2 linked regions of the Caenorhabditis elegans genome follow. The protein of the gene in region 1 interacts with the protein of each later gene in a pairwise test. Each region holds a gene or a part of one and is shown in the gene's direction. Other genes may lie near its edges.

Region 1 (5,749 bases):
AATAACAATTTAGATTATGGTGCTGAAAATAATCTCGAAATTCGTGATCCGGAAGCTGAAAAAAATAATATTTGGGTACGGTAGTTGGTGAAATACGCAAACACCGCCACGCGTATTTGCGGACTTTTCATTTTTCAAAAAAATTTTTTTTTAATTTTCTTTGTTTTTTTCTGCAAAAATCGTTATTTCTCTTTGATTTTTTGCGGGAAATTTGTGATTTTTAATGGTTTCACAGATGTTTTATCGAAATATCAACTAAACATAGTCTCGCGACCCTATAAATCATGGCCACCCCACCTTTTCTCAACGTTTCCTTTATTTTCGCCGCGAAATTCTCCGATTTTACTTCTCCCTCCCCGATGTATGGTCCATCTGGAACACGATCTTCGTCCGATCGTCGTCTCGGTTCCAATTTTTTCGCTTTGTTCACACTAATTTTAGAATTTTTCGAATTTTTCCCGGGAATTTTCACATGCCGGCGCGATTCTTGAATAGAAGATGAGTCAGAACATGACTTTTCTGAAAGAAATTGTGACGCCACGTGTTTATTTTCTCCTGTTTTTCCCATATTTTCCCAAAAATAAAAGCTCACTCTTTTTCTCCTCACTGATAAGGGTGTTCACTTCTCGGTGTTCAAGTAATAAGGCCAGTTGTTGGTCTTCATATGCTCTGAAATTTATTTCTCACGATTTTCAGTGTATAAATAATTTTATTTTCTACCTCGCAATTTCCACATCTGTAACCGTATCCAAAAATTTTTGATTTTCTCTCAGTTTTTCGTTTATTTCATGCCTTCGCTGCCTTAATTTTGTTAAGTCTCCTCCATGTGGAATAGATTCAGAAGTCGTTGTAGTTGGCGTCTGAAATTATTTTTGGAATTTATCGATCGAAATTTGAACAATTGAGATACAATATTCTCGCTGACAGTGCTTTCTCGTGTAGTAAAGCAATAATTTCTATAAACAAAAAAATTAACATACGTTATCATAAAGTAGCTCATTAATAGTGGCTGAAACATCTCCATCATATTTCCGTAGAACATATTCAATATGTGAATTGCTTAGACTGGGAAACATAGCTTGAAAGTCCAGCATTGCCTGAATATTTTGAAAATTTGTTGCCAAATTTGATTCTAGACGTACTCTATCAAAATCCAATAGTTCTTCTTCTACCACACCAGATCGGTCTTCATAGTCATCATAATCCGTCATTATTTCGTTAGAAAAAGCTGAAAAATAGTGTTGAAAATGAAATGAGTCAGCATTATGAAGAAGAACGCTCGTACAAATATTAAACATTTTGGGTGGGCGGTCAAAAAGAATGAGACAGTGTTGTGTGTGTACAATGGTGATTGTATTATCGGTCTGCGGTGAGAGAGTTATGAAAAAATACAGGGAAAATAGGCAGAATTTGGAGTGAAATTGCTAGTAAACTCGGAGTTTTTTTTTTGAAAAACTGCAAGTTAGAGTCTCTAAAGTTCGGAAAAAAGCTTTCTCTGACATCATAAATGATTTTTGCTCTTTTTTACTTCAACATAGTGATTTGGGAAACCATACAAAAGATAAATGGCTTCAAAACAGGAACAATATTATGCATTTTCTGACGAAGCTAATTAATTGACGAGGAGAAACTCATAGACTTTTTATTCATAAAAACAACTTTCGAATAGATTTTCTGCATTTTCTGTTTTTACATAGTTGGCCAGTTTTACTTTTACTGCGGGAAAAGTTCTATACGATTTTTTTTCCTTTATTTAGTGTATCCATTGAGCTAGAAAATACGAAAATTTGCCTTATGTCCCGAATATATCTGTAAAAAAAAACAGTGTTTAATTTTTCAATGATTTATTCAATTTCGCTGAAATATAAATACAAAATCGGCGGAAGGGAATTTGAATTTTTGCACTTTCTGGCAAAATTCATGGATTTTTATAATTTCACTTTTCATACATTTTTAAACAAAAAATGAAATAATAGTTAAATAATCGAATTTTGAACTGATTTTAAAGTTTCCGAAATTTTATTTCAGGTCGTCAAGTTTTCTTCACAAAAAAATCAAAAAAAAAATCATGGAGCCGTTTCTTTTATTTTTGCAAAATTGAAAAAAATCATTAAAAATTCAGAAAAAGAAATCTATAGTTTTTTTTAACAGTTAAATTTGGTAAATTGAGGGAATTTTCAAAAAAAGTTCCTTTGCAATATCAGAAATTTCTTTTCCGACGAAATATTTCACACTCTCAAATATTTTTATCCGTTGCCAGAACTTCTTCTTCATAAAACTAATAATTCTTTAATTTCAGAACCACGAAACATGATGCCAACGTGGATACCTAACAATTTGTGCGCACAGCCGACAACGAGAAATGCTAAACCACCATCGAACGGGCATCCACAAGCGACACAACAACAATCTGCTCCGGGATCATTGGCATACCGTAATTCGAGCAACATACCGAATGGAGCAACCAACCACGTCAGACAACAGAAATGGCAGTACACTCGTTCAGGACATAGAAAGGTACGAATGATAAGAAAATATGAAAAAAAAAGTTGGAGAAAAATAAACAAAAACAAGCATTTTTAGAAGCTGAAAAATATTAAAATGCTCTTTGGTCAGTTGGAAAATTTGAAATTTTTGCATTGAATTTCTACATTGAATTTAAATTAGAAAGTAAAAATACATTAAAAAATTAAGTCATTCAATTTAATTGCAAAATTCACAAAACGTTTTCAAAAAAGTGCACAATGTTCAAATAATCAGAACATAGCACGTAATCGGGTTGATTTGCCCATTGTGCTCCCATTATCGGGAAAATAAGTTGCGTATTGCATCAAAACCACTAACTTTGTACTTTTATTAGCCTATTAAGACTACCGTGACAGAGTACTGTGTGTGTGTGCTGGAAGAAAAGATTAGTGATGTGACGTTGATTGGTAGTTTTTGAATTGGAAAAGAGAGAAACGGAAGTGTGAAAGTTTGAATAGCTCAATGAAAATGGTTGATTTGAATGAAAAAATTCAAATTTTAAACCAGAAATTGTGCTTTGTGTTTTAAGCTTGAAGGTTTGATGATTTTTGCAGATTGACACTTCATTGACGTATTTAGTTTATACCGGAACACCTCTTAGAATCGTAGTTTTTCAACGAAATTTGAATTTCTGCTAGTAGAAAAAAACTGTTCACAACTTGAACATTTCGTATGTATCCCAAAATGCGATACCCGGTCTCGAAACGACACATTTTTTGGTAAATGCAAATAAGTGTGCGCCTTTAAAGAGTACTGTAATTTTAAACTTTGCTGTGTAATTTTCATCAAAATTTTTCGATAAAATTTTTTTTAACCTCAAATTAAAAAAAAGGTTTTTTTTTAATTATGAGAAAAACTATTTAAAAAATCGAAACTGGGTACCGTATTTTTTGGCGTAAAAATCCTAAAATTTCGCTACTGGGTAATAGTTGTATTTTCGAGGTTCCACTACAAATTACCGTAATCTGAGTGTCCCCCAAATTGAATATATTTGCATTCTTCTAAAGTTTCCAGTTAAGACATCTAAAATCTAATAGAATTAATTGAATTGGTCGTCTGATTGACATTCCAGCGTGCAAGCGGAGATTGGAGAGAAAAACAATGTTTTTTTTTCAAACCGAAAATCAGAACTTTTAAACGAACAAGGAAAAATCGAAAAGGAGTGTTCAAATACAAGAATCCATCTTCCGGAAGTTTTCTTCGTGCGTTTGGCCTAGATGACCCAGATTTTTCCTTTTTTCCGGACTTGAGCTACAGTTTACTGTACTTTGACACGTATTCCTTTGGGAACCCCGAGGATTTACACTAATAATTGATGTTGATCTATCTTCTACCCGCTTTCCATCAACAAACTATTATTTTGAAATCCCGTTGTGTACCCGGGTGAATGACTGACAGAGGTGTGAGGTACTTTGTGTATTATTTATGTTTCTCAAAATGAATGTAGATTGATTCATTGTAGTTTCACAGTATCGAAATTGAATTTTTCCGGAGTTAAAGTGTTCAGTAGTAGTTTTCAGAAACTAATTAGTTTTTTATCTAATAACTTCATACATCTGTTACAATTGTTGAATACCATTTTTTGTCATGATGAATCTATAGTTTCTTCTATATAGAATGAATGCGAACTCAACAGGAAATGAAAACAAAAATTCCGACTACCAATTTTTCCTTAAATTTGAGAATCTGATATTCAATTCTGAACCAGAAATCTGAAAATCTGGAATTTTACATCTGAAAAACCATGGAAATAAGTTGAAAAAGGCATTGAACATTATAAAACTCATATGTTCAATTGGCCAAATTCTCACTCGGAACGTTTCCAATATCCCGGAAGTTTTTGCAACTGAGACAAACTGAATTTCCCGACATTATTTCTCGAATTGAATCTTCTTTCAAAATTCTTACTCATTCGACAACACATATGTTTCAATTTTCCTCGGAATTGGGTGTGTTTTGTGTCGGATTTCCTCTCATTTTCGTTCGGTTTTTATTGTTGCGTGGAGAGCTGCATGGAAGAAAAAACCAATTTGATATGAAAGAAGAGCAACACTCATCATTCTTCTCCTCGGAATCGTAAAACCGTAATTGTACGCGTTGGTTTATTTGTCGATGAAGATGATGAGTAGGAGGAGATGAAGAAATTGAAGACGTTAGAAAGAAGAGAAAAGCGTAGAATTACACGCTTCGAAATTTGAGATTTAAGATGGAAATGCGGACGACAAGAAGAGCTCGTTCAAAAGATCGATTTTCATTAAAATTTTATATGGATTTCAAAAAAATTTCGGCAGGTTCTTTTCTACTTTGCGACTTTCAGAATTGAACTTGCTAGCTCCATATTCCGCATTAAATCTCATCGTAACATAAAAACGATTAATTTTCCAAACTCTAATAATTCATTTGTGAGAGATTTTTTTTTCTCTTTTCCATTTCATCGAAAATTCCGCGTTTTCTTAATCTCTGGATTTGTGATTTGGGCGAGAATCTCAGATTTTGCAAAAGAAAAAAGTGACGCGAGATTTTATTTACTCTCAAAAAATGATAGTTCGCAACTGCAAAAAGGAAAATAGAAAAGTATACTCCTTTTTTCTATGTCGAACTAAAAAGACATGCATCCTATATCCTTTAATTCGTTATTCGAACTTCATTAACGTGTTGTGCTCATCGGTGCAGATCCAGTCATTTGAATACTTTTTTCCCTTCCTCTTCGCCTCATTTAACTCAAAAAATGGAGAAACTCGTCTTTTCTTCTTTTTTTCCTTTTTCTCTACTCCAAAAAGGGCTTCTAAGTGTATTTGCACCACAACGTCTACATTAGTTGATGCTTCTCCTTGATGTCTCATCCGAAAATCGCCCCCTGTTTGCCCCCCGGAGATGGCTGAGAATAGAACACACGCATTGTTTGCCAAGGGAAGTCTACTGGCACTCACTCTGAAATCCTAACAAAACCAACCATTTGGCTACTGTTTGTTCATGTTTCGTTTGGAGAAGAAGAAATGAAGGCGGTTGTTGCACTTCATGGTTTTTATCGTTTTTTTTCAGTTTTGGTGGTAACAGTCGTTTTGAATTTTTGATACTTTTGTATTTTCCGATTCGTGGTGGGATTTTTACCTCGACCTTGCAAAATTTACAAACGCTAAATGATTGTTATTATTATCCCTCGAAATGGTTACTGTAACGCGAAAATTTTTTTCAACTTTTAAGATAATATTTTTTAAAGATT
Region 2 (4,913 bases), on another chromosome or scaffold:
AATATTTAGTGAGTAAGTAAAATAGTTTAGAAACAAAATATTGGGTGGTTTACTCTAACCTCCCGAATGCCATCTAAATATTTACATACTGATAAAGTTCAAATAGCACACAGGTTTTTTGTGTACACTTTTTCACTTACTCGAAACATAAGATGTTCGCTATTTATTTAAGATTTTAAGAAGAAGATTACTTCTTAACTTATTACTAATAGTAAGCATTCTTCTAGAAAACTAAAATTTTATTTTTCCTCCAGCTTTAAAGTATTCGAATACTTGACCTCAATCTGTCTCTCATGTTCCTCCATCTGTTCAAATACGTGACAAAAAACTGATAAGAAGGAGAGCTTGCACTTGAAGTTTACACTTTTAATAATCTTTCAATTGTTACTACTGACGGCATTCCATTTAGTTAATCGGTTTATTGAATTTTGAGTGTGATTTGATAAAAAGAAAGTTAGTGAGAATTGAATCGCGTTCCTAGTGATAAAGTTTTTGGAAACTTTATAGTTTTCGTTGTTTTGTAGTTTTTTCTTTACAATCGAAATTTTATTGTATGGCACCAAAGTAAGCTAAAGGCACACAGGTCCATTCGGATGGGTCTCGCCACGAAAAAATGTTTTGATAGCCCATTTTTGTGGTGATCGCTGCAGAATTTTCAAAGATTTTTTCGTAGGTTTTCGGTAAAATTTTTTATAAAACTTAAATATTTATAAAAATTAGAAAAAACACATAAATTGTGCCAAATGTAAGAAAAACTATTTTGAAAAATCGATGAAAATTCGACGGAAACGAACATTTTGAATCTACAGTAGTCTCAAGGAGTACTGTAGATTTAAGGCGCAAACCTGCTTGTATTTAACATAAATTCAAGACCTGGTACTTTATTTTCGTCGTAAAAATTGCAAAATTTCGTACCTAGGTAATATTTTTATTTTTTATTTTTTTAAAACAAAATTTTCATGCAGTTCCGTTTTCAAAACGATAATAAAATCTTCGAAGTGTCTGAAATGTCGCTTTTTTGTTATCTTAAACCTTTTTTCCGTTTAAATTTAATGTTTCCTTGATAAGTTCCAATTTCCCAAACATCTGAGAATGCTTAGATATCTTCCCAAAATGTTTTCAAATTGACAAATGGCTGTATTGTTCAATGATTCATCTTGTCATTCTTTTCTCCTAAAGAAGAGGTCTCCATTCATCTTCTACCTGCCGTTATTGACCACCTACTGTCGTAGTTTTTATCGTTTCATTTAGTCACTCTAATTACTCTCATCTCTTTTCATTTTTCCCCCATTTCGATTGAAATTAGATTAGTTCCGATTGAAAGTGTTCGGATTTTAGGTTGATGAGGCTTCGATGACAATTTTACATTCCAATTTTAAAACTTCTATATTTTACGAACGAAATATTTCCAATTCCGGGACGCGTTGAGAGGTATGCGCCTTTAAGAAATACAGTAACCCGCTTGCAAGGAATTTTACACGTTATTTTTTTCTCGCTAAGATTTTTTTTTTGCCTTATTTTTCAGGTTTTCATGTAATTCTGCTTATTTTTGAAATAGAAAAACTAGAAAAAGCTTAAGAAAATTGCGAAAGGGGAGTGGGTTACTGTACATCTTAAAGGCGCACACCTTTTTGAGCGGCTTCGATTAATGGGAAACTATTTTCTTTCCCATCTGGGAACGTTTTTCTCAAATTTAATTGCTTGCCCAAGCGATTTTGAGGTTTTTTTTCAATTTTCAGACTAATCCAATGTTTTTTCTTTAAAAATAAACTTTTTGTCGATTAAAAACATGTTTTTAAATGTTTTTAAAGCCCGCGAAATTCAAAAAAGCTCTTGCATTCTTGCTCCATTGCATTTTCCCACGCCTCCCCCAGGCGTGGGAAAATACGTGGGAAAATGACAACTTTCCCACGCTTGTTATTTTCGATGAATTGTCCAATTATTCGTCGGTGCCATGTTCTTTCTCATTTCAAAAGAATTATTTGACTATTCAATCTTCGCGCGAGACAATGTGTTCGACTTTTATTCTTCCTCCAAGAGTGAGTTCACTTTTTTTTTGAAATTAAATATGTATTTTCTCTTTCCGATTGAATTGTTTCAACGATGATCCCGATTCTCCAACTTTCTCCATTTCTTTTATTACCTTCAGTTTTATAATAATATTATCATTTTTCAGAGAAACAACTGCAACAAAAGCAGTAGTACCATCGCCTACTCGAAGTCGCAACACGAGGCGCCGAAGCAAGTGAGTTGGAAGTTTTATTTTTCGTTTATATAAACGTGTCGAAACTGACCTATTTTTTGTCACGCCGTTCACGTGGCTTTCGTCACTAAATAGAATTTTGCGCTCCAAAAACAGAATTTTGCTCTTTTTTAATTAAAATAAATAATTTTTCATTAAATAGACGTAATTAATAAAAATTAATTTCAGCTGCTTCAACTCCGATCTGAAATCAAGCCGCTGATTCCGCTCAATCAACCTTCCAATTTTTGGGAATCCAGTCAAGATAGCGGAGTTCTCTCCAGCTTGTCATCTTCTCCCCAACAACGTTCGGGCCTGAGAAGTCAAAAATTGCATTTGACGTATATAGAGAAGAACAAGAGAGTTCGTGCAATGATTCCACAACAACAGCATTATCATGCATTTGATCGCCCGACACACTACAATTCTCGAAAAACGTCTGGCCCACCACCACTGATGAGAACACCATCTTCCGGATTTTCGTCGGCTTCTTCGTCGGAGAACATGTTTTCTGGATTGACATTGTCAGACAATGAGAACAAAATCCACGAAATCATGGATCCATCAGTTGACGTGGATCTTGACATGTTTCTTTTGCCTGATTGTCGATACAAGCAACCAGTGCAACCATCAACCAGCACATCCCGTAACAATGTGAGCCAGATCAGCGGGTCGAGTCGTCTAAATGGATCCACGAGACATGTCGCACCAATTGTTCCAAAAGTTGCAATGCCGGTGAGTTTAAAATAAATTTTAAGTGATTTTAAAGAAATCAAATTATAATTTTCAAAATTCAATAAAAATTTACTTTTTTCAGTCGGAGTTATCATATGCCAACGTGAAGCGTTCAAGTGGATATGTGGATTATATGCCAACAACTTACAATTCCAACGTGACGTCCAATTCGTCTGCAGCATCGGTTCCAATGTCTCCGGGCACATGGGTTCGGTGTCACTATTGCTGGGAGTCGTATGTGAAACTGTGCCAACGAGTTGCAAATCTCGAACCACTCATCTCATGTGATGGCCCATGGAATTGGCATACACTTTATGATATGCAAGGACGAGTCACGTATGTTTTTATTTATTCTTTGAAATCTAAAAATTGATATTTTTATCGAAACACGACCTAAAATTTTCTTTTAAAAAATTGTGTTGGAATTCGTAATTTTTTCGATTTTTAAATATCTAAACTTCGAAAATCTAATAATTTTTTTAAAAAAATCTTCTCAAATTATTATTATTTCAGATGTCCCCGACTGTGGTTTGCTCAACTCGATCGTGCCGGTTCAGAAATGGTCGAACAAATGGGACACGCTCGAAATGTTCCAGTCTAAGCAATAAAATTGGTTTAAATATCAATTAATTTATATTTTACCACCCCCTTCAAATGTTCTTCTTGTTTTACACTATCATCCAAAAAAATGCGGTTCTCTTCTTGATTCTTTTGTTGACGAATACGGGCATTCCGTGTGAGCGTTTTTCTTTTTTATATTAATTCTTTCTGATCCTTATTAGCTCCTGCCACACACACCATTTTATGTTTAACTTACATATTACCACCATCCCTGTTTTTTGATCCCCTTCCCTTTTTTAATAAAACATAATCAACTGTGCGAATTATGTGAATTTCAAATCCCATCCAATCTTTCGCTGTATATCCATGTGCTCTTTTGTCTCTGGTGGGATCTTGCCCGATAAAATAAAGATGTCAAATATTTACTTTTCGCTATTCTTATTCATTTATTGGCAGGAATTTCAGAAATTAAATCTCAAATTGGGATGAGGCACACAGTTGAAGATTTTCGGAATTTTCCACACATTATTCATCGATCACTGGAAACATAATATCATGCGCGAATAGATTGAACATGCTTCAACAAACTTCTCGAAGGATCGATGCATAGGGGTGCTCCAAGAGGCTTCTCGTGTGTAATATTTGCCGTGATTACACTCATCCACATCTCGCGAACTCTCCGCCTTTCCCTCTTTTTCCTGTTTCTTCTCGAAAAATCTTTACTATTCGACACTTTTTGTGAACATTTATTTTTCTACTGAAACTTCTGAAAATGGCTGTAAAAAAGAATAAGAATGTGCCAAAACAGGAGGATCCATTGGTTCAGAAAGACGAAATTTCGTCGATTCATGCTAGAATTAAGGTGATTTTTTTTGTACTTATTTAATTTCTTAAAAATCAAATTACAGATTTTCGAGACACCGTTCGCCACTCAAGTTCTCAATCCAAAAGTGAGCGAATTCTGTGCAAACTGTCTTCGTGGTCCTGCTCCAGGAGAGAAGCTTCTTCGTTGTGGTGGATGTAATTTCTCAATGTATTGTAGTAAAGAGTGTCAGGCAACTGCCTGGTTAGTTCATAAACCAGAATGCAAAAGACTGAAAGCTGTGGGTTTCTAACTAAAAATTGGAATTAATATTAAATTTGAGAGCTTCCCAAATCTTCCACTCACTGAAGTTTTGTTCCTTTCAAAAGTTATCGATCGTATTCAGTTTTTGGAGAAAAATGGAGATAAATTGGGAATTGAGGCAGAGAGGAAATTCTCGAGTTTGGTTGACCATAAGGTTGATATCAGGTGAGAATAATTGAAAAACTGGTGAATAGGATCTTTCAAGAGTCAAAAATCAACGATTATGTCAATTTAATTAGATTTTGTCGC

The links. Proteins that work in one complex are often made in the same cells at the same time.
Region 2: the proteins of mpk-1 (region 1) and lst-1 interact in a two-hybrid assay, tested with the Caenorhabditis elegans proteins (4 studies listed by BioGRID).

The regions. Positions count from the first base shown.
Region 1 is NC_003281.10:4,224,659-4,230,407, reverse strand, and holds the start of mpk-1 (Mitogen-activated protein kinase mpk-1), read left to right. Parts: upstream 1-2,313; coding exon 2,314-2,517; intron 2,518-5,749. Other genes in the region: F43C1.5 (uncharacterized protein), read right to left, coding at 15-55, 298-519, 593-669, 721-860, 981-1,097, 1,143-1,211. UniProt on the Caenorhabditis elegans protein: Functions in let-60 Ras signaling pathway; acts downstream of lin-45 raf kinase, but before the lin-1 gene product in controlling vulval cell differentiation. Plays a negative role in proximal germline proliferation in the mitotic zone.
Region 2 is NC_003279.8:10,586,503-10,591,415, forward strand, and holds lst-1 (Lateral signaling target 1 protein), read left to right. Parts: upstream 1-1,998; 5' UTR 1,999-2,009; coding exon 2,010-2,039; intron 2,040-2,170; exon of another isoform or gene 2,171-2,176; coding exon 2,177-2,245; intron 2,246-2,431; coding exon 2,432-2,977; intron 2,978-3,059; coding exon 3,060-3,313; intron 3,314-3,490; coding exon 3,491-3,578; 3' UTR 3,579-3,962; downstream 3,963-4,913. Other genes in the region: Histone-lysine N-methyltransferase set-18, read left to right, coding at 4,311-4,400, 4,447-4,641, 4,684-4,829. UniProt on the Caenorhabditis elegans protein: Plays a role in germline stem cell maintenance, perhaps acting in concert with mRNA-binding factor fbf-2.